2 linked regions of the Arabidopsis thaliana genome follow. The protein of the gene in region 1 interacts with the protein of each later gene in a pairwise test. Each region holds a gene or a part of one and is shown on either strand. Other genes may lie near its edges. The genes, in order: AT4G35905 and AT1G22800.

Region 1 (12,567 bases):
ACCTAAAAGTCTAAGACGATCTAGTTATCCAAGGCCCTCTCTACTTGATTTAGTCATAATTATATCTAATTAAACACTCACATAATATCAGAATATTCTATATGTTCACCCAAATGTGGAAAATAATCAGAAACGGCCCAAGAATAGGTTCAATGTCACAATCCATGCGAAACAAAAAATCAGAACTATTCTTGATAGACTAAGAAAATAGTAAACCCTAATTCACAAAACACACCAAAAATATAGAAAGTTGTCTCAATTATTCTTACCATTTTGGAGATGTCAAGTACACAATCCCACCCATCTTGACTATCCAACGGTTAGCATTCTTTTGGCTCTTTCAACTCCAAGTTTTTTCCTTTATTTATTTTTATTGCTAATTTTAGCAGTAAATTATTACGTCTACTTTGCTTCCGTACGGTCTAGAGACAACCTACGGACAGATGATGATTGTACATACCAGTAGACTTACAGAATCCAACGGTTATTGAACTCACGGGTCATTCATATTGTTCGTTGGATTATAAATTTGAATGTAAACGAACATGAATAATTAAAAACAAGTTGAGATTTGTCTCTTCATCAAATCAAATCACTTGTCCACCGAGTTCGAGTCTTTTTTCAAGCCAACGAGTCTATCTTAAACCCTTTTACGTCTCTAAATATATAGAGATGTAATTAGTATTTTATTTCTTCACCACCAAACAATGTTTTATAATTGTAGGAAATCGAGATATATAAAACAATGAATTATTTTGCACTTACTACTTTTGGTAGGCATATTTCATGTTGTATGATAGTCCGGAAAATTTTATATAACTTGCTAAAACAGAATTTGTTTCCATTTATATGCATTGTTTAAAAGTAAACTAAAGAGGATATTAAAAGACAGAGAAATAGATTTGATGGAGTTTGGGACAGAGCAATATAGTGCTGACACCTGTCCAATCCCCTGAGACGTGACATGTCACACTCCTTTCTTATACAACTTACAAGTTCTCTGCACAATTTTATGATACAATGGACATTTGAATTCACTCGTTACAGACTATACCCCAACTTTATTTTGAGTTTATTTTGCAAAAATGATTTGAGACTGGGAAAATTTGTTTTATTTTCGTCAATGAATATGCGTAGTGACGTCGATACTAACAAAAGTACTACTCTTTACATTCGAATTTTTGGTGGTTGCGAAACGACAACAAAGATCTATGAAATTTGTGTTTCACATTAAAAACTCAAAATGTATTTTGAAACCCAATGTTTGGAAACATGTAAACAAATTAAAGTCTTTGTACTTTTCACCAACAAATGGAAAATATATATCTTCTAACAAATATGAGTATTTGAGGAGCTTGCATTTTCGATAAACAGCTCCTAATGTAGTACTCTTTGCATGTTCAAAAGATGGGACGTTTCCTTGAGGGCTGATTTCAACATTCAGAGAAAAAAAATTATATACATGTACGGAAATGAATAGTTAATCTTGTTGAATAGAATAAGAGAAGAGGAAAGAAAAACAAATATCGTATGTTATTATAGTTTATATATAATCAACTTGCAATAAAGGAAAAATTTGAAAAGCGTGACTAGATATGCACTTGGAGACTGACTTACATAGTAGATACGATAATCGAATATCTAGATATCTGGATGGTACTCATATTATTTGTTTATTACGTATGATCAAAGATTTATTAATATGTATCATCTTCTACTTGGCTTAATTATTAACTAGTTTAGTATTCGTCTCTAATCTTCAAAACAATCAACATAAATATCTAAACTATATTGGTCATATAAAATCTAATACTTTACTATCCACTTGTAATGTTTGTTTTGTTCAGAGTTGGAGACCCACATAAATTGATTTCCCTATCCGTATTGTAAAACAGACTATTGACACTTTGATCAAATCTCGTTGGATGACATGAACACCAATGATTTGAAGTGGGGAACAATTCAATAGTTAACAATATTTTTGTTATTTAAATGCATTTCAACTATACGGTCGATATTATTTGAAATGTTTGCAACTACATATTTAAGAAAACGTTAAGTGCAAATGACCCGTTCTTAAACACTCCGAATCTCATATAAAATAAAGTTTTTTTGTACTAATCAAACATATAATTTTCAGACTTTTAGTTTTGATAGAAACAAATTACATATACGAACACCCAAGTACTACTTTTTATATTCGATAATATTATTCTATCTTCGTTTAAAATATATTAACCACATCAAGAAAAGAGGAATGAAATATTCTAACGGAATTAATGTTTGCTGCCAAAAACAAAAAAAAAACAGAAGAAATTTTTACATTTGAGTTTATTGGTATAGTAGTTAGGATTTTGTGTTTTATTATATATTTAAACGAATTTATTTAATTATTTCTAATACAGAAAGATGTATATATTCTTATCTACTTTCATTTTGTTTTTAATGTTTTATTTCGTCAATACCCTTAGGGGAAAAAAGTGTATTTTGGCAAATTTTCCTTAAATCTAAGAGCAAGAACAAAAATTAAAGTCACACATGAAAGTTGAAAGTGATCCAAAGGGATTTGATATTAGAAAATAGAAAGTGAGATAAAACCAAAAATAATTTTATATATTTGCCTGGCTTTTTACAAGCATCTCACCCCCACTCACTCTTTACATTTAAGGATGATGAAAAATACTTCACTTTTGAAATAATCAAACACCATTTTTAATCTTTATAATAACTCTGACGTTGAAGACATCAACAAACACCTTTAATTACATATAATAGTTTATGGAATTTCTCTTCTTCTTCTTGAAATATATTATTTAATTGGAAATAGTTCAATCCCTCTGTCTCTTCTTCTGGAGTCTTGGACCCAACCCCATCATTCCAGAAATGACCGGCTAAAGTCAAGAACCTCTCTCTGAGCTCTCACCACTTTCTCTCTCTACTCCCTCTCTGCGTGTAGGATACTACTAGACAATTGACAACCAAAGACTAAAGCTGTGTTGTTGGTTCACTTCTGTTCTCTTTTCCAATGTTGTCATCAGCTAAGCATCAGAGAAACCATAGACTCTCTGCTACAAACAAGAACCAGACTCTCACCAAAGTTTCTTCCATTTCATCCTCATCACCATCGTCTTCTTCTTCATCATCATCAACCTCATCATCATCTCCTTTACCTTCTCAAGACTCTCAAGCCCAGAAGAGATCTCTTGTCACCATGGAAGAAGTTTGGAATGACATCAACCTTGCTTCCATCCACCACCTAAACCGACACAGCCCTCATCCACAACACAACCACGAGCCAAGGTTCAGGGGCCAAAACCACCACAACCAAAACCCTAACTCAATCTTCCAAGATTTTCTCAAAGGATCTTTGAACCAGGAACCAGCACCCACAAGCCAGACCACGGGTTCTGCGCCTAATGGCGATTCCACCACGGTCACTGTTCTTTACAGCTCTCCTTTTCCACCTCCTGCAACTGTTCTGAGCTTGAATTCCGGCGCTGGCTTCGAGTTTCTCGATAACCAAGATCCTCTTGTTACCTCAAACTCTAATCTTCATACCCACCATCACCTCTCAAACGCTCATGCCTTCAACACCTCTTTCGAGGCTCTGGTTCCATCCAGTTCTTTTGGTAAGAAAAGAGGCCAAGATTCCAATGAAGGTTCAGGGAATAGAAGACATAAGCGTATGATCAAGAACAGAGAATCTGCAGCTCGTTCCCGCGCTAGGAAACAGGAATGTGCCTCTCCTCTTCCCTCCTAATCTTCTTCTACTCATGTGTATCAAAAAGGGAAGAAAAGAAATGTGGTTTTGCCATCAAATTGCTTTTGATCTAAAAAAAGGTCTCTTGGTTTTGATTCTCATTTGCAGGCTTATACAAACGAGTTAGAACTTGAAGTTGCTCACTTGCAGGCAGAAAATGCAAGACTCAAGAGACAACAAGATCAGGTAAACAAGCAGAGCCAAGTTCTTAATGTTTTACCCTTTTGTAGCACTCATGTCATTAGATCAATTCCTTGTAGTTTAACCAACTTATAAAAAGAGACAGACAGACAGCCTCTGGAGTATATTTGTTTTACACACTTTTTTGTCCAATGACATTTTGGGTGGTTAGATTCTGATACTTCAGTTGTGTGTTTATTATGTGTGTGTGTGTGTGCAGTTAAAAATGGCTGCAGCAATTCAGCAACCCAAAAAGAACACACTTCAACGGTCTTCCACAGCTCCATTTTGAGAAATCTACAAGTCCTTGTTTCTCTTTTGGGGATTGAGATTGTCTCATGAAGAAGTGAAAAAATGGCAAAAGTTTGTACCCTTTTTTATTAGCTATAAGTATAACTAAGCCTAAAATTGTAGAACTAAGATATTGTAGGGGAAAAAAGAAGATGTAAAACAAAAGACCCGGAAAGAGAAAAGGATCTTTCAATTTCCTAAGGCACAGGAACACCTGTCCTGGGTCCTCTCTTAATGTTCTGTCGTTTTCCTATGCAAACCCTTTTTTCACTTCTGTACTAACTTCTACTTGTATTCTTGTTGTAGTAATGTTCTACTTCCTCTTCTAATACTAGTAAGAAAAAAAACCTTATGTTTTACTGTTTAACCAATTTGGTTCTTAAAAGAAGCAAAGGATCAAATGACCAATAGACAAAACAGTGCTCCACTTAAATGATGACAATACCAGAGAAAAGTGAGAAGGGGACCTATCACTGAACATTTAATTTTCTCCCTATCACATTATCACATAAATATCCAATCCTTTGGCTGTCTACCATACAAGCCAACAACTTGCAATATGATTTTGAAACCTCCAAGCCAATGGGAATTAAGTTCACCACTTTTCGGGTTGGTCAAGAGAGAACATGATAAGTTTCTTATTCAGCATGGTCACTCCCCACGTTTTATTTATATTCATAGTACATAGTATTGTAGCTTTTGCTCTAACTGGTCACCATCAAAAACACTAGGTGTGTTTGTATTCATTTGGTTTATCAAGAGAATAGTTTTTATCTTCTTTTGGCCCAATTTCATTTACCTGACAGTGATAAGTCTTGTTGATCCACTTTTGGTTGTTGATATATTGCTGTGTATTCTTTTAAGCAACCAAAAGTGGACATCAAGAGCTAATATGGTGTAAATATAGTGGACATTAAGATAAAGAAGAATAGTTACCAAAAGTGGGACTATGACTAGAATCTATCCTCACATTATATGGTTACACTTAGAGCCCCTCAAATAGGCATCCAATACTTTAAATCATGCTTCTACTTTCATTCCAGTCAATAAGAATCCTAGACTTCAAGAAACTTTAAACGAAAAAGTTGGTTTATTCACCTGAAACTACACACCTATAATGTTTTTCAATTGGTTACATCAATGTTTCCCATCAAACATTCATACTTAAAAATGCTACCAGAACTTGGCCACAAGCCTAAAAGAGAGTTTAGAAGAGATGATCAGGTAACTAGTACAGAGGACAGAACGAACCATTGATAAGTTGCTGCAGATACAAGCTGATACCTTCACTCTGACCATTTTATTTCTTTTTGGGTGCAAAAGCAAAAGTCATTAAGCTTTTGATGCATCACCTTCCTCCTCAAGTATTTTTCCATCCTTTGGAACCAAGCATGGAATCCCATCTTTGATCTAGCGTGTTAAGAGAAGCAAAATCAAGTCTTAAACATTGAATCGTGAACATGAAGTGAAATCTAAAAAGAACAAGAAGAATATCATTAAGAAGAAAACAGCCGACCAATCACTTTAGCATATGATTATTCCATCAGTGAATCCCAAATCAACACCAAGAATAAATTCATTTTAAACATTATTTAGTATGAAGCAAATGAAGAATAATGAAAGAATCAAAGTCTATATATATATACACATCTCAATCTTTGATTAGACAATTCCTAAAAGATCAAAGTTGGGTTGAGAACATGTTCACTGAATAAGAGAGCATGATTCTGAAAGCAGATATGATAGTGATTTCGTACAATTTCACTGTTTGGAGAGTTAATAAGCGCCATAAATCTAACTTTCATGGAGCTCAACAGCTCACAAGCATCTGAATCGAAAAAATCAAAAAGCTTTGGATAGAAGCTTACAGGAAAAGAGACACCAATAGTATCGCTGACAAGTGATTTCGTCTTCTCGCAAAACCTATCAGCAATCAATTCACCAAATTGCTTAAACAAGTTCTTCGGGACCAATCGAATTTAAGCTATGTACATTTTGAAGGAGAGAAATCGAACCTCAGAGGTTGCTTAGAGAGAGGGCACACCAGAATCTCGGAGAGGGTCTTGTCAATTACATTGCCGGCGTCTTTTAGCAGCACTCTGTTTAGTCTCACCATTCTAAAGCTTTGATCTTTAGCTCTCTCCGGACTTTTTCCTTTTTTCCGATCTCCGGTAGAATCGACCGGCGTTGAGCGATAGTTTTGGACTTTTTGAGTAAAAACGCAAAACGCCCCTATAAATTTAAAAGTTTCCAACCATGCCCCTCAATTTTTATGTTTCACAAACGGTCCCTTCAATGTGTATATATTATTCTAGCTAGGGGAGAAAATTTTCAAATATAAGCCTCTATATTTTATAGTTCTTGTTTGATGCCCTCAATTCTAATTTGTTGACCATTCGTCCGTCGGACTTTATAAATTGATCAAACATTAAGCGCTTCGTGTTATAATGTCTATGGGACATTGGTTAGAATTTACACAGATTTCTTATCCAGCTATTGGAAGATGTTGATCACTTGCACTCTAGATTAATGCTCCTGAATCTCTGATTCTGCGCATAGAAATATTACAAAACTTGATTCTCGCATCACCCCTAACAAGTTTACTACTTGTGTTACAAATTGTAAACTTCCCATGATTCTTGTATTATATGTGTAAAACTGTAGATGCTTCATTCAATTGCTCAGTGATTTTGCTTCACATTGAGACAATCATTGTAACGAATGAGTAAAAACACTTTTAACATCTACGATGATATCAGATCGACATTAAACTAAGATGATCTTAGGTTTCTAGGAATAATCCTTGATAAGCATGACAGGATTTAAACTTCCTCTCATACCTTGTGCAAGCATCCGAATGCAGATTTAGACAACCTCTTCATCGTCCAAGAGCAGACAGTCTTTAATTTTCTCCCTGAAATAAATGGAAACCAATGTTAGGAATCTCAAATAGTGTTTCACTCAGTCTTGATCTTGGTTGTTTTAAATCTGATGCTTCCTAGAGACATGAACTACCAATAATGTAGGTAAAACGAATGGAAAAGGAATCCAAGTTTGAGATCAGAGTTAATGCATACTACTCACCTCAGATAAGCTTGACTATCAACTTTTTGATGTTTCACTTGGGAAATCATGTGATCTGGTAGAAATGAACTGAATTGCTCAAGAGATGATCCATCCTGTGGAAGTATTTGAAACCGGCAACTTGAACAGCAAGCAGCATAGAGGACATCAGATTCCTGGCCTTCTTCAAAAGTATCCAACTCTGATGAGTCTGATCTATTTAGCGGGCCATTGCAGATAGGACAGAAAGCTTCAGTAGTCATTGATCCATCATATTTGAGATTGAATCTCTTTAGGCGCCTCTGAGTGGCCATAGGTACATTAGAGTCGTCTGTTTCCGGAATTTTATTGAAGTAAAATGGAGTCAGCTTCGCAGCTGTCCGTACAATTGTGCATTCCCGGGAAGGATTTTCTTCCTGCACAACAGAACCCAGAGACAAATGAATCAGTAAAAACAAAGTAACAGGTAACCATGCATGCACTTAAACATATGCAGAAGATGAACATTATCTGAACCTGCAACAGAGCGACAAATGAAGACACCAAATCATTGATTCCGCATTGAGAACGACAAGCCAACTCCACAGTCTTAAGTCTGCCCTGCCCAGAATATGTGACGTCACTCAATAGTTGGATTATGCAAGAATAAGGTTCACTATAACAATACAATGTAGACTAGGCAGCCAATAAACGAACCCATCCAAAAGGCAGAGTCTAGTTATTTCCAGTCGAACACAATCTCGAAGTGGAAGTACAATGGGAACCTTCCATCTAGCATCAACATGCTGAATATCTGCTGATAGTGAATAACCTCGTCCCTGTTTCAAGAAAAAGCAATTCAACTCACAATTCTGATAGAACATAGTCTAAAGGGAATGTCCAAATAAAGTACACAAAACATTGTGTACTGAAATAAAATCTTTACACCAAAACTTCAATTTTTAGAGATGTAATTGGTTAAGTCCAAAATATCTACATTCTTTAAGGTAGCCATTGATTGCTTTCTGGCATGAAGTTCTCACTCTAAGATGCAATCTATAGAATAACTAAGCCAGAGGAAACACGAGTCAAGTCAGGGCACTAAGCAACACACCTTGACAGTAGCCGTAAGAACATGGGAAGCAATTCTCGACGTGCATGATCCCAACACTAATCTATTGTACCCATTTTCAGCGGCAACCTAAAAAGGTTTATCAAACAACATTAAACAAAAGATATTTCCAAATCTGAATTTCTTTCCCAGACAGAAACAAAAGCAATATAATGTCCAAACCTTTTGCAAAGATAACATTTTCAGATGCAGCAGAAGGTCTTCTTTTCCAGTATCGTCAGGAACAGAATCTAATAGCTTCAGAAGTCTATCCCGTGCGTCAAGAGAGTCTGAACCAAATATGCTTTCGACTGGAACAACATGGAGATCCTTAGCAGGTGGAGACAAACACGAGACAGTATATCGAACCCACTCAATTGCATCAATCATTTCAGTGGAAAGAGCAGGAAAAGCTGCAGTTTCATCCACAAAAGCAACACCAACACCAAACACAGGTAAAGATCTATCTCGACTCGCCTCGTAATTCTTCAAAGCCTTGATTTGCAACTCGTGCACAAATTGAAGAGAAACCCTAACATCATACTTGCTACGTTTAGACACCAATCAATAACATATCAAAAAACAGAAACTAAAGGAAAAAAAGAGAGCAAAACCTGGAAGATGATCCGCCAGAGAAAGCAACAAGGACGTTATCTGAAGGAGTGATCATAGCATGAGAAGTAACAGCAAGACGGAATTTCCCAAAGACATTGTTCCTAAAACAATCTGCGCAGAATCTTCCATCGTCGAAGCCACCGTCACCAAATGTCATAGGCGCATTGCATTTACACTTGACGCAGACACTCTCATGATTACCGCCACCAGATACTGCATCATCCACTATCTTACTTCCATTATCTTTCTCACGGTCATAGCAACCTGACTCACAGCCTGAGGAATTACAAGCCATTTCCAATTCGCAAGCAGCTGAAACTGTGGAAAATTTAGATTAGGAATTACAACACAAAGGAGTAGACAATGCTATCAACATCTAATTCACGAGACTTAACTACTTTCCGCCATTAACGAGATAATTAAGAGATTGTTACTCTAAACGAAATCATTAGTCTTTTTTACTCAATCAGTATATAATCAATCCTATTACACTGTATATTGCTAAGTCTTGCTATAAAGCGAATATATTGAATAGATAGCGATGTGTGCACATTCAAAATCGAAACAAGCAAATAAGTGATTAGTTACCAGTTTGAGAGAGAAAGAGAGTCGTCGCGATAAAATCTTTAGCAGCCCCAGGTCAGCCTCAGGCGGCGCCAAAACGTTATGCGGTGGTTGACTACGGCGATATTGGTTTAATTGTTAGAAAAATGTCACTACTTTGTCTGAAACTAGGGTTTAGAGAAAGCAAGAAAAATTGGGGAAGAAGATGAAAGTGGTTATTTACGAGTCTACCCATACCGGTGAGACGATTAGTAAAGAAATTATGGTTTGATAAGTATTTAAAAGATGCTAAACCGTAAACATGTAACCATCCATTAAAAGGAACCGACAAGTTTTGTCCAATTTGGGAGCAATAGAAGAGAATCATCATCAGTCATATCAATTTTGTCAATGTTTTAGGCTTTTTAGTCATGGTAATGATACCTCACATGCATTTCTTCATCTCTTTTCTTCTTCAAAGAATTTTCCTTAATTTGCTATTGTAATATTAATATTCACCCACCAGCAAATTGTATATGTTCTCCTTGATTCATAAAAGAAAACTACTATTTTGACCCAAAACACAAGTTTGGTTCAATTGGCCATCCGGTAAACCTAATACCCTATCTTGTGATAAAAGGTTGAAATAAGAATTAGTTAGTCTATATGTGATACACACAACACAAATTGCTGAAATTAAGATGAGAATCCCAAACTAATTTACATACGACTCCACGATTTAACACAATAATATTAAGTGAGTAGTACGAAGAAGAATCTCGTCTCGTATCCAGAGTTACAACAAATCGTTGTTTTTGTTCACCTTTTGTATAATAGAAGATTTCAATGTTCCATGAACTGCGACGAAGGCGGGCTTATTTTCGTCTTCTCCGTACCTGCAAAGATATGAGAGACAGATCTTTGTTAGTGCTTCAAGATTGAAACAAATATTGATAATATGTTTGTATGTAAATCATACCATATGCCCCACGAATCTCAACTTCTCTCAGTTCTTGTACAAGGGCACAGCAACAACACATTACATGAGATAGAAAATCGTCAATGAATCCTCCCTGCGAAATCAGAAAACATTAAGCATTCATTCCGACTCTACATTGAGTGGCATAAACATAGCCATTTCAATCTCAACCATGATAGTTACTACTGAATTTTTTTGCAGGTGTCTACTTAATCTTTAACCGAAATTTCATTTGTTGTTTATGGTATGCAAATGATAGAAATTTTCTCGGAAGCATATAGATTTTTGGGATCAAATGGGATTAATGGTAAGGATTCAAGCGAGTGGAAGAGAATGAGAATGTAATACCGTGATGTTCAGTGTCTTCCGGAGTTTCCTCCTCACGCAACAAGTATAGCAGCAACAAGAAAGTATCAAAGAATACGCCATTAGCTCATTACATGCTTCAGCTGAAGCTGGGAGAGCGAAAATTAAAAAAAATCCAGTTGACTTATTAGCTTTCACATGTATTACTAAAAGATTGAAAATTAATAAAGTCACGGTATTCAATAATATCCCTTACAGATGTGCCTGTTGGATGCTGCAGTGGCAATCTTTGCCAAAGTACCACACGGGAAAAAGAATGTCTTGAAGCCTGCGGTTCCATCATTGAATCTTTGAGAACTTTGCAGATAACAAGGAAGTATAGAATGTGAAACGCTAATCATCTATGTAACAGAGAAAACAAAGTGGAGCCACATTGTAAACAAATAGTGTGGTCTTACAAAGAGAAGGTTCCGAGCAACAAGCTAGTAAGTCGGTATGCCATTCTTCATGGTGTTGTGCCTGTGATGCTCTTCGTGAAAGCAGATCATGCCCAGATGAAACATTAGAAGTGGATCTGCATGGAACAATTGTGTAACCGATGTTATAGAACATTGTACCAAATCTTAGCCTTCAAACATGAAAACAGACCTAAAAGCATTACAGTCACAGCAAAGAATTGAAGATTATACTTTCTTAAACTTGTAAGGAAATTTGGATCTTTAGAACAAACATGAGATTCTAACCTCGAAGCTGCACGAGTACTGCTTTTCTTGGGAGAATCTTCGTCATACGAATATTCCGTCTTCATGCTTGAGCTACGTTCAGATTTTTTGGAAGCTTTCTTTGTCAGCTCCTTCTCAGAGTCAGGTTCAACAGCAGCAGCAGCTTGTGTAACACCAATTAAACGCTGAATGACTTCACACTGAGCCACATCATAATGCTCCTGCGACCGCTGAAGTTCGATCTGCAGTTTCTCGTTTTCTGTTTTGAGAGCTTCACAGAAACGCAAGTTAGGGTATGAGCAAGAGAGAGTCTTCTTCAGTACTGATGCTGCTTCTCTGGTGGATTCTTGTTTCAAAATAACATCTTGCACATGTCTATCCTCTTCATCCAGAGTGTACTCACGCTGATCACGGTCAATATACTCAAACCTCTCCTGTATAACAATCAAAATTTCAATATACCATAACATCAAGCAGAGAAACTTGTTAGACCAAAATGCAGGTAAAATTACCCGAATGCGAGCGTTATCGACCAAAGTGATGAGAGGTATGATCTTAAGAAAACGATCAATCTCATCCTGATGTTTCCTGAACTGGTAAACAATGTTCCAACCCATAGCCAACAAGTAAAGATAGCTCCGGTCTCTACAGCTATTGACCAGAAGGTAAGACCTTCTCAAAGCATCCTCAAGCCCTTCGAGAGGCTCTCGAGTCTCAGGATACTTCTTCATCTCAGAGATCTTCAGCTGTTCAAGCAAATTCCCAATGAGTTTGAGATGTTGAGCGAATTGACGACAATTCTTCTTATGCATCCAAGCAGTATTCGCAGCTTTGACTATGAGACCAATCAACTTGACCGCATCTAAACCAGTCAGCTGAGCCACTGACGCAATCTCCCCAAGACCATCCCATGAATGTGACATTATCTTCTTCTACTCAAAGTTCCTGGTCGATAGAAACCGAATCATCATTATGCACAGGAAACATAACTTGAAGATCCAAAAACATGGAATTATCG
Region 2 (13,187 bases), on another chromosome or scaffold:
TGACCTCTCTTAAAAAAGCAGTATCTCCAATCTTAATGGGCCCTTAATGGGTTTAGGTGGGCTCATATTTATTTCATATATAATGCTGTTTATGCTTGTTACTCATACTTGCGAAGGACCATCCCCTAGTTCATGTAAACTTATGTTTACAGGAAATCATGCAATTAAAACTTGTTGTATATAAGATTTATGTACAAATTGATTCTCCAGTTTGATAAAATATTTCTATCAGAATTTGATTCTTTATCCTACTTCTACAAGACGTTCTTCATCTGAACTTTGCTCCTGATTGATGACAGAATCATCGTTCATCGGCTTATTATTCTCTCCATCTAACTCCGAATCTGTTTCCATCAAAGCAAACTCATGAGCCTTTTGCACGCCCAAGTCACTCAGTAAAGTCTTCACCGTTACAAGCTTGCTCCAAGAACCAGTTACTGCATACATATCTGCAAGCAACATATAGTGACCTAAGTGTTCTGGCTTTGTTTCTAGTAGTAACTTATCTGCAGCCCACTCCCCAATGTTTGTGTTCCCGTGGATGAGGCACGCTTTCAGTAGAGTAGCACACATAGCACTTGATGGCTCGTAAGGTATTGTATGGAATATATCTCTGGCTTTATCCAGGTAACCTGCTCTGCAATAAAGATCAACCATACAAGAATAGTGTTCAAGGCGAAGGCGTATACCAAACACATGCTCCATCTTCGTAAACAACCAGTGTCCTTCACGCACTAAATTGGAATGGCTGCAAGCTGATAAAACTGCAACCATAGTTACATGATCAGGTTTGATACCGGATCTGTCCATATCCTTGAACCATGCCAATGCGACTTCTCCTTTACCCAGCCTGCCATATCCATCGATCAAAGAAGTGTATGTCACTTTGTCCCTCTTCCTCATCGAATCAAATACTCGCTTTGCAGCTATGATTTCACCGGATTTTGCATACATATCGACAAGGGAGTTCCACAGGATTAAACAGTCCTTGTAGCTTTGGCGTCTCAGGATGTAGCAGTGAAACTCTTTCCCATGTTGCAGGTTTCCCACCCGAGCAAAAAGAGGGAGAATGCTAGCAAGCGTAATGTGATTTGGGTGAAATCCAGAGAGCAACATCTCCTTGAGCAGGAAAGAGGTTTCTTCTGATCTCTCGTTGTATGCAAAACCGGAAATGATAGAATTCCATGTACTCAAACTATTTGCTTCAACCTGCTGAAACACTATAAACGCGTGCCTAAGATCACTGCATCTTGAGTACATTGTGATCAACGAATTCCGAACATTGTCAATATCATGGGAAAAACTACAACTACGGATCACAAGGCAATGAAATACTTTCCCCCACTTTAACGCTCCAATGTGTGAGCATGCCTTTAAACCATTAATCATAGCTACAGAACCTATTCTTACATTGCAATTTCTCATCCCAACAACACAATTCAAAGCCCCTATGTAATTTCCTGCCTCCAAACAACCTCCAGCTATTGTGTTCCAAGTTACAATACTCGCTTCGACACCAGAGAGATACATTCTATCAAGAAGCTTAAAAGCTTCCCCTAACTTTTCTTCTGAAGTATAACAGTTGATTATTGCATTCCATGAGACAGCATCCCTTTCAGACATCCTGTCAAACAATCTCCGAGCAACATCCACTTTACCAAATCTTTTATACATAGATATCAACGCGTTGCAGACATACAAGTTACACCTGTGAGAGCTAACCTCAATAGAGCCATGAACAACTCTCCCATATGCAAAATCCAGTAATGCTGCACAAGCCTTGATAACAGACGGGTAAGTAAATTCATCCGCTCTAATTCCTTTACTCATCATTCGCTTGTAAACAGAAACAGACTCCTGAAACCTTTTGTTCCTAATATACGAACCGATGAGCACATTCCACGGCAAGGGATGCAAAATCTCAGAGTTCTCAGTAATGGTCTGAGCTTCGTCAAGGAGATTAAAAGCAGAGTAGAAAGTGACCAACTTTGGGACCAAAACAGAGTCAAACTCCAAACCCGACGAGATACAATGAGCATGAAGTTGCTGGCCAGGAACAAACTCATTAAAACCCACACATGTAGATAGAAGAGAAGCTGATGAATACAAAACGAATTCATGAGAACCAGACTGGTAGCGAAGTAGAGAGAAAGTTCTGAAAGCTTCATATAATTGACCATGGGAAATGCAATGTCTAAATGAATTGAAAAGCACTTGTGGAACTGATTCATCATCATGGGTTTTGGAAGTTTCTGAGATGGGTCTCGGCAGCTGTTTCCACGATTGAGGAATAAACTTGCAAATTTCGGATACAGTGAGACCTCTGAGTATAGAGCGAGAAGGAGAAGACGGCATATACAGTAAGCTGCATATGATGGCAACGAATGGATTTTGATTATTGTTCCAAGACTAGTTTGATCCATCAAAGCGAAAGTTCAAGCAATTTTGCTTCTCCGTCTGAAAGTCAAAGGAAGAAAGGTGAGAAAGATAAAAAAAAAGTTTCGTTGAGGAATTTCATCGAACATGTGGTGAGCGAAACATACCGTATACAGACGAAACATGGAAGTATAAGTACATCTAGAGAAACATAAAAGAGATAAGACAGATGTCATGTAGGAAGAAAAAGGAAAGAAGACAGTGATTCGGAGACAGTATCGACGGAACCGGACGAAGCGAAAGTAGGAGTAGCCGCGCGTGAAGGTTATGTAGAAAGAGACTCCTTTTTGACATTTATTCAATGTTCTGGCATGTGCTCAGATGATTTGGGCCGCTTGTTTAGATTTGTCCACTTCCAGACCCATTGCAATTGTAACCCATTTTAGCCCACTAAAATCTGACTGTAACAACTTTATAAATTTATGGTTTTTTCAAAATATTACCAAGGTTAAATAAATCGTGTTAGATGAAGTTGGCACCAGTTTTTGATATTACAAAATGAGGTCACTAGTATTTTTTTTATAAGAACTTATAATAAGTAATTTATTAATTGCATTATTTCATTAATATTGATTTTATATATACTGATACACTAGGGTTTTTATAAACATTTAAATTGTCTAAAATCGCATAGACCAACCGAGTAGGTGTGAATATTTATTGTCAGATATCAATAATCTGCTAGACGTTTCTAAAAACATCTCTAATCGTAACTTACCAAGTTACCTTTGAGGTTTCTTCTAAATGAGTCGGTGACTATGATAAGACGGTGTATCACATCACAATCAACTCCCAAATGTCAGTGTCGAGAAAAACCTAATCAAGTATCAACTACAAAGAATTGGTTATGCATCCGAAGGATGAAAACACATTAAATACATTATGAGACTGGGTTTCTCCGTGGATGATTCGTGTTTTGGATGTGGTTGTGTGTGAACTAAAATTTGACAACCATGTACATGAGTCAGCAGACACAGAAGAAGACAAAAAATAACTTTTTCCAGTTAGTTTGGGCTGTTGTGTCTGTGTGTTGTCCGTGGAGAATCATTAAGTCATTACAGATCTTTGGTCAAATGCCAAAAATAAAGGACCCCCTTTAGACGGTGCTCATGTCACGCATGACGCAATTTGTAACCAAAAAAGGCAAAGAAAGTCTTTCTTTATCCCACGTGGTTTAACCATCGACGACGACGTTTTCACATTCTTCATCGGTGGAGTTTGAATCGACTTTTGTGTTTTTCACTGCTTTTCTCTATACTATTATGTCATCACCTATTTTACAGATTTTTATGAAACGAAATAGAGGATATATAGTAGTATAAAATTCTAGATTTCGACTTAAGACTTTTTCATATAAAAAAAAATGAAAAACCTATAAATTAAGGTAACCTAACTATGATATACCAAAGCAACAACAACAAAAAATAAAGATTAATTTTCTATTTTAAAAAAACAAAAAATATCATTTATTTTGAAACCAAACAGAACGGTATATATACCACTTGTTTTATAGAAATGACTCTTACTTTCTAAATACATTGAATTTACTGTTAGACACAGCAAAAAAAAAAGTTACAACTTGAAAGAAAAAAAAATCGACTAGTCAGGCACATGTCAAATTGGTACCACTAAAAAAATGGGTCATACTTTGACCAGTTGATTTTTTCCTCGAGAATTAACTAGTTTTATAATTGGTCAACTTCATTCTCATTCTTGATTCATATTAAAAAATATTATATAATATTTTGACTTTCACTAAACTTCAACGTATAAATAGTCTTTGTATCTTCATATTCAAACATAAACAACACTCAAAAGTCTCTTCTTCTTCTTCTTCTTCTTCACATCGATCATCATACAACAACAAAAAATGGATTACAGAGAATCCACCGGTGAAAGTCAGTCAAAGTACAAAGGAATCCGTCGTCGGAAATGGGGCAAATGGGTATCAGAGATTAGAGTTCCGGGAACTCGTGACCGTCTCTGGTTAGGTTCATTCTCAACAGCAGAAGGTGCCGCCGTAGCACACGACGTTGCTTTCTTCTGTTTACACCAACCTGATTCTTTAGAATCTCTCAATTTCCCTCATTTGCTTAATCCTTCACTCGTTTCCAGAACTTCTCCGAGATCTATCCAGCAAGCTGCTTCTAACGCCGGCATGGCCATTGACGCCGGAATCGTCCACAGTACCAGCGTGAACTCTGGATGCGGAGATACGACGACGTATTACGAGAATGGAGCTGATCAAGTGGAGCCGTTGAATATTTCAGTGTATGATTATCTGGGCGGCCACGATCACGTTTGATTTATCTCGACGGTCATGATCACGTTTGATCTTCTTTTGAGTAAGATTTTGTACCATAATCAAAACAGGTGTGGTGCTAAAATCTTACTCAAAACAAGATTAGGTACCACAGAGAAACAATCAAATGGTTGTGAATATACATTATAAGGTTTTGATTAATGTTTGTTTCACTGATTTAGTGAAGTTTGGTCCATTGTATACAAATCTATTCAAGAAACCTAGCGCGAGATCATGTTTCGTGATTGAAGATTGAGATTTTTAAGTATTCGTAATATTTTTGTAAAATACAAATATGTTTCTGATCAGCTATTATTCGATACGAAATACATGGGCGAAAGCAGGCGTCCTAATTGTGATGCTTTCGCCCAGTGAAAGACTCCGACAAATCTACAAGAGTTCCTCCAAGTACCTTATAGCTTAAGTCACTGATTTCTCTCTCAAGTGTCATTTGTAAAGTCTCTGCTTATTGAATGTTTCTCTTCTTCAATCATTCCATCAAGATTGTCCGCCAAATTGCTTTTGGAGATCCGTGAAGGATACGGTGGCTGAACCTCTTCGTTTGGCCTGCGGGTGAGACGAATGTTCTCTCCATCCTGTCATGTAAATCACCTACACAAGAATGCCAAACGATATATACTTTAGGCCTCAAATGTTGTTAATTTCACTTGTAGTATTTAGCATAAAATTGTTTTAATCATGGATTGTAGCAAAACAACTTGAATAATGAAGCTAGGTTATGGGTTTTTTTCACTGTTGAGTTAGTTCTGAACTATTATGGACAGACCTGAAAAGTAGCGGGTATAGTGCCGTCCTCTGTGGCAAACATGGAGTCATATATGGCTGCCGTGGCAACAGCAGTTTCACGATTCAAAATCTTGTTTCTCTCGAGAAGAGCATTGGTTTCACCCATCGCACGAAGATGCTCTATAAGATCCATCGCTGAGTAGAAAGATATAAACGAGAAGGCAAATCAGAAATAATTCTTGGAAGATACACGTTGTTGCAAACGATGAAGTAGGAAAAAAGTGGAACAGTTTACCTCTCTTGTATTTAACTACATATTCATCAACATCAACACCAGGAAGACTAAAACCCGCCCTGGTCAACAGATTCCCTGCGTCCCTAACCTGAAAAAGAAAAGAGAAGCCATGTTCTTTCACCTCAGTACTAGAAATCAACTTGATCTTGCTAAGATATTCACACACACCTGTGCCAAAGGTGATAGCCGAGGACTAATCCCTCCTTCCCGCTCCATGTGAGCCAAAGTGCATGCTATTCTCAGCTCCCTTGTAAATAATTTCAATACGTAAAGGCTAATCAGAAACATGATATGGAATAAGAGACTCTACATTGAGTATTGATTTGAAATGAAAGAGAGGACAAACTTTAAGGTTTCTCCACCAAGAATTGCTGCTAAAAATAAGCCATCCGGCTTCAGTGCTAGCTTGCACTGCAGTTATTACAATCCAAAACCAACACATTATAAATATTTTCTCATAGGACAAACCAATTCACATACACCAACAAAAAGCAACGAAAACGAGAAAACCTGTATCATGGATCCAGGAAGATCATTTGTCCAGTGAAGCCCCAACGAACTAATGATCAAATCAACCGAACTTCACATACAACATATTTGACAAGATATTAGTAGGTAATAGAACTCTAGTGAGTCGCAGCAAGGGGAAAAAAACAAAGAAAAACAGGTTTTACAATAACGTCCTTGTTACCTCTCTTTGACTGGCAGAAACTCTTCATCACCAACAAAGTAAGAGGTTTCAATGGAGTTATCGAGTGAATCGTCTTGAGCATCTCTACATGACTTAATCATGTCATATGAAGTATCCATCATGATAAGCTTCTCAATCCCACCTGTGCAACAAAGCCAAAAATCATCATCAACAACACTCAAAATGCAGAACCAGAACAGTCAAGAGAGAGATAAACTAACCGCGACCACGTAGTAATCTCTTAACAGCACCAAGAGATCCTCCCAAACAAAATGCAGTGGGAAAACTCTTCTTACAATCCTTAAGAAAGAGCAAAAACAATATTTACTAAGCTTGATTGAAATCGAGAAATTTAGCCCCAAGAGAAGCTAAATTGCTCTCTCAATGGCGAGCATGCATCAAACAAAAGAGTACCTCTAAGCGATCAAGTAGATTATCTGCAACAGCGTCAACAAAAGAATCGTTTTTTTGGCGAGAAAGCCACGCCGCTCGATCACGCTGCAAATCAATCGAACACACAAATTATAAGAACTCGAAATCTGGATTAATAATAAGAGAGAGAGGCAAATGTAAGATGAATTCGAACACTACACATGTATTCGCTTGAGGTCTCGGTCAAAGATCTTGACTTTGGAGCTGTTCTGCTGAAACTCACCGTCACCGCCATAAGCACCTTCCGTAGAGAAGGAGAGAGATGCGAGAAATGTATGAGCTTGCTTCGTAGATTTCTCGGGTACTCGTTTTAGGAGACCAATTCTTCCGTACAGTGAATTGATCCTCCGCATCTCTATCTCTCTATCTCTGGTTCTTAGCTGCACCGGAATTGGTCGGACGGAGGTTCTGGGTTTGGTTTGAAGAAGAGACGGTAGATTTCTCTGTCTTGTATTCTTTCATTTTGATCCCTGAAGTTTATCTATATTCTATAATGTTTCCCTATTGTTTTTAATTTTACGTTTTAACCCCTATGTTGTCATTAGAATCAGATGGATTATCAACTTTCTCTGGCAAAACTGTTTACGCCTCCAAGATGGTTAAGTACTTGCAACCAGAAACGCTATGGAAGCTGGTAATTGGTAAACAATTAATACAACAGAGGACTCAAGATTCTTTGTAAAGTCCATTAAATGTTTACATGATTGATCAGTTCCTTAAGGACAATGTGAACGATAGAACTAACGAACATGGTGGATCGTTGCGAAACCATTGCAGATTCGCTTTGCAGTTAGTGGACTAGTTATATAAGCATTCTAGTTTTGTTGTACACGTACGTAATGTGGTTGAGAGCGTTACAAGAACAAGAGTTATTGCCACTCTCTTCCACTTTGCATCGATTTGGATGTTGTCTTATCGTTTTTAGAAAACAGAAACCCGGAACAAGTTGCCACTCAAAACAAAGGGAATAATGTACAAGCCAAAACCTTGAAGAGAACTTTTGTAATAACAGATACACTTTAAATATATGAGCAATGCACACAAGACATGAGTAAAGAGTGATACCGATGATTTCTGAATTTACATGATCACACACGAACATGTTCTTTGTCGTCCTACCTCCCATTCTTCATCTGATAATCCCATCTCACTGCAACCAAAATCAAGTTTGTTTCTTGGAAGTTAATAACAAACCGTGGGAGGATCACAAAGAAAAGGAAACACAGCTAAATGTCTCTACAAAACCATGATGTGTAACAAAGAATATATATATGTAGTGAGTTTGCCGGGCACTACGCACATGTGAAACTCTGAAATCTAAATGAATTAAAGGATATCCATTTTGAGCAATAGGGGTTAAAGCTCAAGACTAACATTCCTATTTGCATAAAACAATGGATCTAATTATACAAGCTCAAGATTCACAACAAGGATCCTATTGGCATAAAACAATGGATCTACTTAAATTAACTCGTATTGGGATTTAAGCAACTCAATAAGAGGAAAACATATCACACGTACCTCGGCTCAAATTCTCTAACTTGAGTGAGTTCACTACCACAAGCATCAGGCCACTGAACTTTCCGCCTTGCCATGTCACCAGTGAGATCGCTACCATCCACACTCAACGTCTCGTATTCTTTTATATCTTCTAGAGAGCGTGATTCCGCAACAGAGGGCCTCTTCAAGCTACTCCTCAACGAGAGTTTGAAAGCTTCTTTGCTGCTGCCATTATCAGCTTCACTTATTTGGTCTTTACCCTTTTCAGAAACAACAACAACAGACTCTGGTGATGATATTTCACGATGCTGCTGCTGCACAGGTTCAACTTTAAGAGGAGAAGGGGTCTCAAGTCCCGCGGAAGCGCCACCAAAACAACTGAAGGAAGCAGCGCAACCGCGGGAAACTCGGTTCTTAATAGAATCCAGCTGAAGAACAGGGTCAGCCTCAGGCTCTTGGTCAACCACCTGGTAGTGATTCCACGGGACAACTCTCATGGGCCTATCTACGTCTTTATCACCAGAGAAAAGAAGGGTCAATCCCTTACTATACCCAGACGCGGACGCTGAGAATAAACCCCCTCCTTCTACTGCCAGTAACATTAGTTGCTCTATTCATCTGACGTACATTAAAACCCTGACAATATCCCCCTCCCTTCCTGCTCACCACCGAGCACCAAATATAGCCACAGATTCAGATTCAAGACACCTGAAGCTAACAAAGACAAAAATCAAACTACAATAGCTGAAAATTCACAGTTATAGCATTGACACATACAACATCTTACTTGCTAAATTGACTGGAACCACCACTAAGTGAAGAAAAAAAAGTTTAGAGGATCTTAAATAAATCACTTAAACTCAAAAGCATGGATCAACTTCAATCATGGAGGAGATCTAAAACGCAAAAAAAGAGGGAAAAAAAACAAAAAACAAAATCTTAGTAGAGATAGTGTAACGAAACGAAATGAGATTGGATCTGTAGCCGTAAATTTCTTCAGATATAGAACACTAGTGAATTGATAAAGAGAAGAGATTATATTAGAAGATCTACAAAGCCATTTTCGAATCATGAGCAAACAACTGAACAAGAGTTTAAACATGCATAAGCTACTTCAAGCCACCGAAAGAATACGAATCTCAATTCAAACCTCGTCTTCTTCATCGCTACTACTCTTTGCTGGATTTTTTTCTCGGGAAAAATCGAAAAAAAAAAAAGTGAATTCACGCACCTGAGAGATCAGCTCGGGAAGAGAATCGATTACTTTTTGGTCAGCGCCGGTGGTTACGATCGTCGCTTTCTCGTTCGCGTGAATCAAGAGGCGATGAGAAAGAGAACAAGTGAAGAAGAAGGAGAGAGTAACATGAAAAATTAAAATGATCAATTAAGTTCAGTAAAGTTACTGATAGTGATTAAAACTGATAACGATGTATTTGCGCATTATAGAGACAGCCGCTTGTGACACTTAAAAGTTTTCTCTAATTATATAATTCTTGCGTATGGAGGAGTGTGCTATTATTAACTTTGTTTAAAGCAGATTTTGAGAGAAGAGAATGTAATAAATAGAGACTAGTTTTTGGATTCAATTATATATTGTAAAAGCTAAGACCGTCTTTTGATGAAACAACATCTCTTAAACTATCTCTTCTGCAAAAAACAACAATACAAAAAAAACAAAACAAAGCCATTGAACCAAGCTCAAACTCTTTTTAACGCTTCTTGGAAACACCAACAGTCTTTCCACGGCGTCCGGTGGTTTTGGTGTGCTGTCCACGTACACGGAGACCCCAGTAGTGCCTCAGACCACGATGGTTTCTGTTTACATTACAGTGACAATCTCAGTCAGTACAAACAAAGTTCTATATCGATTATCAGAACAACAAGAGAGAAACAAAGGATGCATCAGTAAATCATTACACTACAGATTAGGTTTTGTTGCCGAAAATGAGTGTATACATGATTTAACACAAGAGTTGTGTACTTAGCTTCTTCCATATAGAAAGTTATGATGGGCATCATTATACTATTAACATGGTATCTAAAAACTACAGAGGAGAGTGTCTGTATGTGTTGTTTGTTACCTGATCTTCTTGAGACGCTCAAGATCATCTCTCAACTTCATGTCAAGAGCATTGGAAACAACTTGGGAGTATTTCCCATCCTTGTAATCCTTTTGTCTGTTAAGAAACCAGTCTGGGATCTTGAACTGGCGAGGGTTAGCAACGATTGTCATGAGGTTATCAATCTCAGCAGCACTTAGTTCTCCAGCCCTGAATATACCAGCAAAGGAAAAAACATTTAAAAACACACACTAGACCAAACTTCTTCAAGAATATCAATCTAGAGAAGTTCTATGTGCAAAGAAAACCTAAATATCTGATTTCCTAGAAATCAATCAAACCAGATCGAGCAGGTACAATTCTAGTCAAAGAGCTACATTTTCTACTAACATCCAAAACCTCGCAAGATTCATAATCCTTATCCATAGAATTCCTAAGTAACTGAAAGTATTAAGAACCAAGCTAAGAAACAAACCTCTTGTTCATGTCAACATCAGCCTTCTTGCACACAATGTTAGCCAATCGCCTTCCAATACCCTTGATTGAGGTCAAAGCAAACATAATTTTTTGCTTCCCATCGACATTAGTATTGAGCACACGCAGAATATGCTGAAACTCCTCGTTCGCAACTAGAGACTACACACACACGAATACGAAAAAAAAAAAACAGATCCGTCAGTCGCAAATCGTGTAAGGGAATACAAAAAACATTTGAGCTTAAAACTCCAATCCCAAAACCAGCAATGAAAAACGAGCGATACGCAAAATGAAGCACGAGCAATTGGAGAACCAGACAAGAGTTGAAGAACGATAATCGTACCATTTTTGGATGCCGAGAAAGATCGCGAGAGGAGGATTAAGCTCTTTTACCAGACTCTGGAGGCGCCACCACAGCTTAAGCTCAGGTCTGTTATAAGCGGCATATTTAGGGTTTTCCAACCTAATATGAAGCTCCTGTAGTTAATTACTAATTTACCCTTTAATGTTTTTTTTGGAGGAAAAAGATTAAAATACTATAAATTATCTTTTGCAATATTAATTTTTGCTGTTTTAAGAGTATTCGGAAATAAGTAAATTTGTAAATTTTTCACTTCTATACATTACGATTTAGAATCCACTGAAGACTAAACACCAGACGCACAAAAAAAAAGATTGAGCTACTTCGTCATTTAAAATGTACAGAGAAGAGGTTGAGTTATATAAGACACCGAGCGAGAGCAAATCCAACGCCGGTGGGAGTGATTGCGTCAGTCACTCATCATTACAACATTACATACAACAAACTATATATATATTCTTCTTGGTCTACGTCCAAATGTTTTGTCTAGAGAACTAAAATTTACCAAAAACAAAAGTGGGTGCTCGTTATTGGGACAAGGATATAGTACAGCCGAGTTCCCGAGCCGCAGTGTCGAGAAACTGAGTAGGCATAGTTGTGGAGAGCAAGCTGTGAGCTTCCCAGTTTAAACAGTTTTGGATATCGGCTTTCCAGTCTATTGAGGCGGCGTTGAAGAATCGATAGGACGGACTATTCATTCCGTTCTTCTCTGTTGTTGGCAGTTTTGGAGTTACTTTGATGGGTATGGAGCTTTGGTTCATGATATCACGTAGTACTGACGTGCTTAAGGCACGTACGTGTGCACTTGGGTGTGAAAGGCACCGTATTGTTGCTGGTAGACGACACTGCATAGAAGCAAAAAGATGTGAACAAGGTTAAGCACTTTGGTAACTGGACCTACTACTGATCATCTACAATCGACGCAGGAAACCATAGGCTCTGTTCGATTCTGCTTTTACCTTCAATAGATTGGATAAACCGTCGACCACTGCTAGTCCAGATGGCCCCCAAGCTAGCACCGGCTGTATTGCTCTTGCCGTGGCTTCAAGTAGCTGCAAAAGTTTAAAATACAGTGGAATCAGAAAATGATTATTACTCTAGCCCGAAGAAGGGCATTGAAGAGCAATCTATAACAGTGCAGTACCTCAAGTTGAGGTAATGTACAAGCTTCTCCATCAACAAGCATTCCATCAGTTGCCCGCAGAAGAAGATCTGATGCACTTGCGAGAATCACCAGTGACTCAGGCCTGTCATGATTGCGCATGAGTTCCACCAACACTTTGACTATCCGTTGGTTGATTTTCCACATTTTTTGGCCTTCTTCATCATCTTTGGCGATCCAAGGCTGCAACTCCCTTTCAGCCTGTAAATAACACAAGACCATTTCAGACAATAGAGCATTAGAGTAAATCCTTCAACATATGAGCTTGAAACAAGCCATTATTTTACACAGATTTTTTCTTCCTTATTTCCTATCCTTGGCATATTAAAACAAGTGTTGCATATAAATTCCAAGCTTAATTTTTATAAATTCATGAGAGATCAAATGAGTGAACCAAGCATTATAAAACATTAACACAGGCCATAGGTTTTCCGCAGTTTAATCTTTACACAGGTGTTGCATTCCTGACAAATGAAATAAAAAGTCAAAGAGTAATTTGGACCTGAAGGACAACTGCTGCTGCTGCTTTCGCTGGCGTTGCAGATACGACATTGCATAGCGCATCAACAACCTGATATATAAAAAATATGATCAGTGTATGAAGTCGAGCGACTTAATTGGATTAGTAAAGAACTACCAAGGAAACTGTAAGCGAGCTGGGAAATAGAAGTGCTGAGGTTTACCTGTCTCCATCCTTGTTGCGCAGAGGTGCTTTCTGCGGTGG

What was found.
Region 2: the proteins of AT4G35905 (region 1) and AT1G22800 interact in a two-hybrid assay, tested with the Arabidopsis thaliana proteins (one large-scale study listed by BioGRID).

The regions. Positions count from the first base shown.
Region 1 is NC_003075.7:17,001,721-17,014,287, forward strand, and holds AT4G35905 (Trm112p-like protein), read right to left. Parts: upstream 6,547-12,567; 5' UTR 6,348-6,546; coding exon 6,247-6,347; intron 6,155-6,246; coding exon 6,100-6,154; intron 5,642-6,099; coding exon 5,564-5,641; 3' UTR 4,921-5,563; downstream 1-4,920. Other genes in the region: FD (Basic-leucine zipper (bZIP) transcription factor family protein), read left to right, coding at 3,026-3,733, 3,869-3,946, 4,161-4,232; AT4G35910 (Adenine nucleotide alpha hydrolases-like superfamily protein), read right to left, coding at 7,097-7,145, 7,316-7,710, 7,811-7,889, 7,991-8,112, 8,388-8,474, 8,568-8,916, 8,999-9,294; MCA1 (PLAC8 family protein), read right to left, coding at 10,386-10,438, 10,522-10,615, 10,870-10,976, 11,084-11,155, 11,286-11,401, 11,571-11,983, 12,062-12,472.
Region 2 is NC_003070.9:8,066,089-8,079,275, reverse strand, and holds AT1G22800 (S-adenosyl-L-methionine-dependent methyltransferases superfamily protein), read right to left. Parts: upstream 7,488-13,187; 5' UTR 7,257-7,487; coding exon 7,065-7,256; intron 6,970-7,064; coding exon 6,886-6,969; intron 6,772-6,885; coding exon 6,693-6,771; intron 6,614-6,692; coding exon 6,472-6,613; intron 6,361-6,471; coding exon 6,291-6,360; intron 6,192-6,290; coding exon 6,127-6,191; intron 6,028-6,126; coding exon 5,949-6,027; intron 5,869-5,948; coding exon 5,781-5,868; intron 5,681-5,780; coding exon 5,526-5,680; intron 5,351-5,525; coding exon 5,237-5,350; 3' UTR 4,919-5,236; downstream 1-4,918. Other genes in the region: AT1G22830 (Tetratricopeptide repeat (TPR)-like superfamily protein), read right to left, coding at 244-2,355; AT1G22810 (Integrase-type DNA-binding superfamily protein), read left to right, coding at 4,307-4,741; AT1G22790 (Low affinity potassium transport system protein), read right to left, coding at 7,984-8,053, 8,425-9,005; PFL (Ribosomal protein S13/S18 family), read right to left, coding at 10,113-10,218, 10,485-10,673, 10,939-11,099, 11,284-11,286; GI (gigantea protein (GI)), read right to left, coding at 11,829-12,146, 12,261-12,353, 12,446-12,664, 12,966-13,034, 13,147-13,187.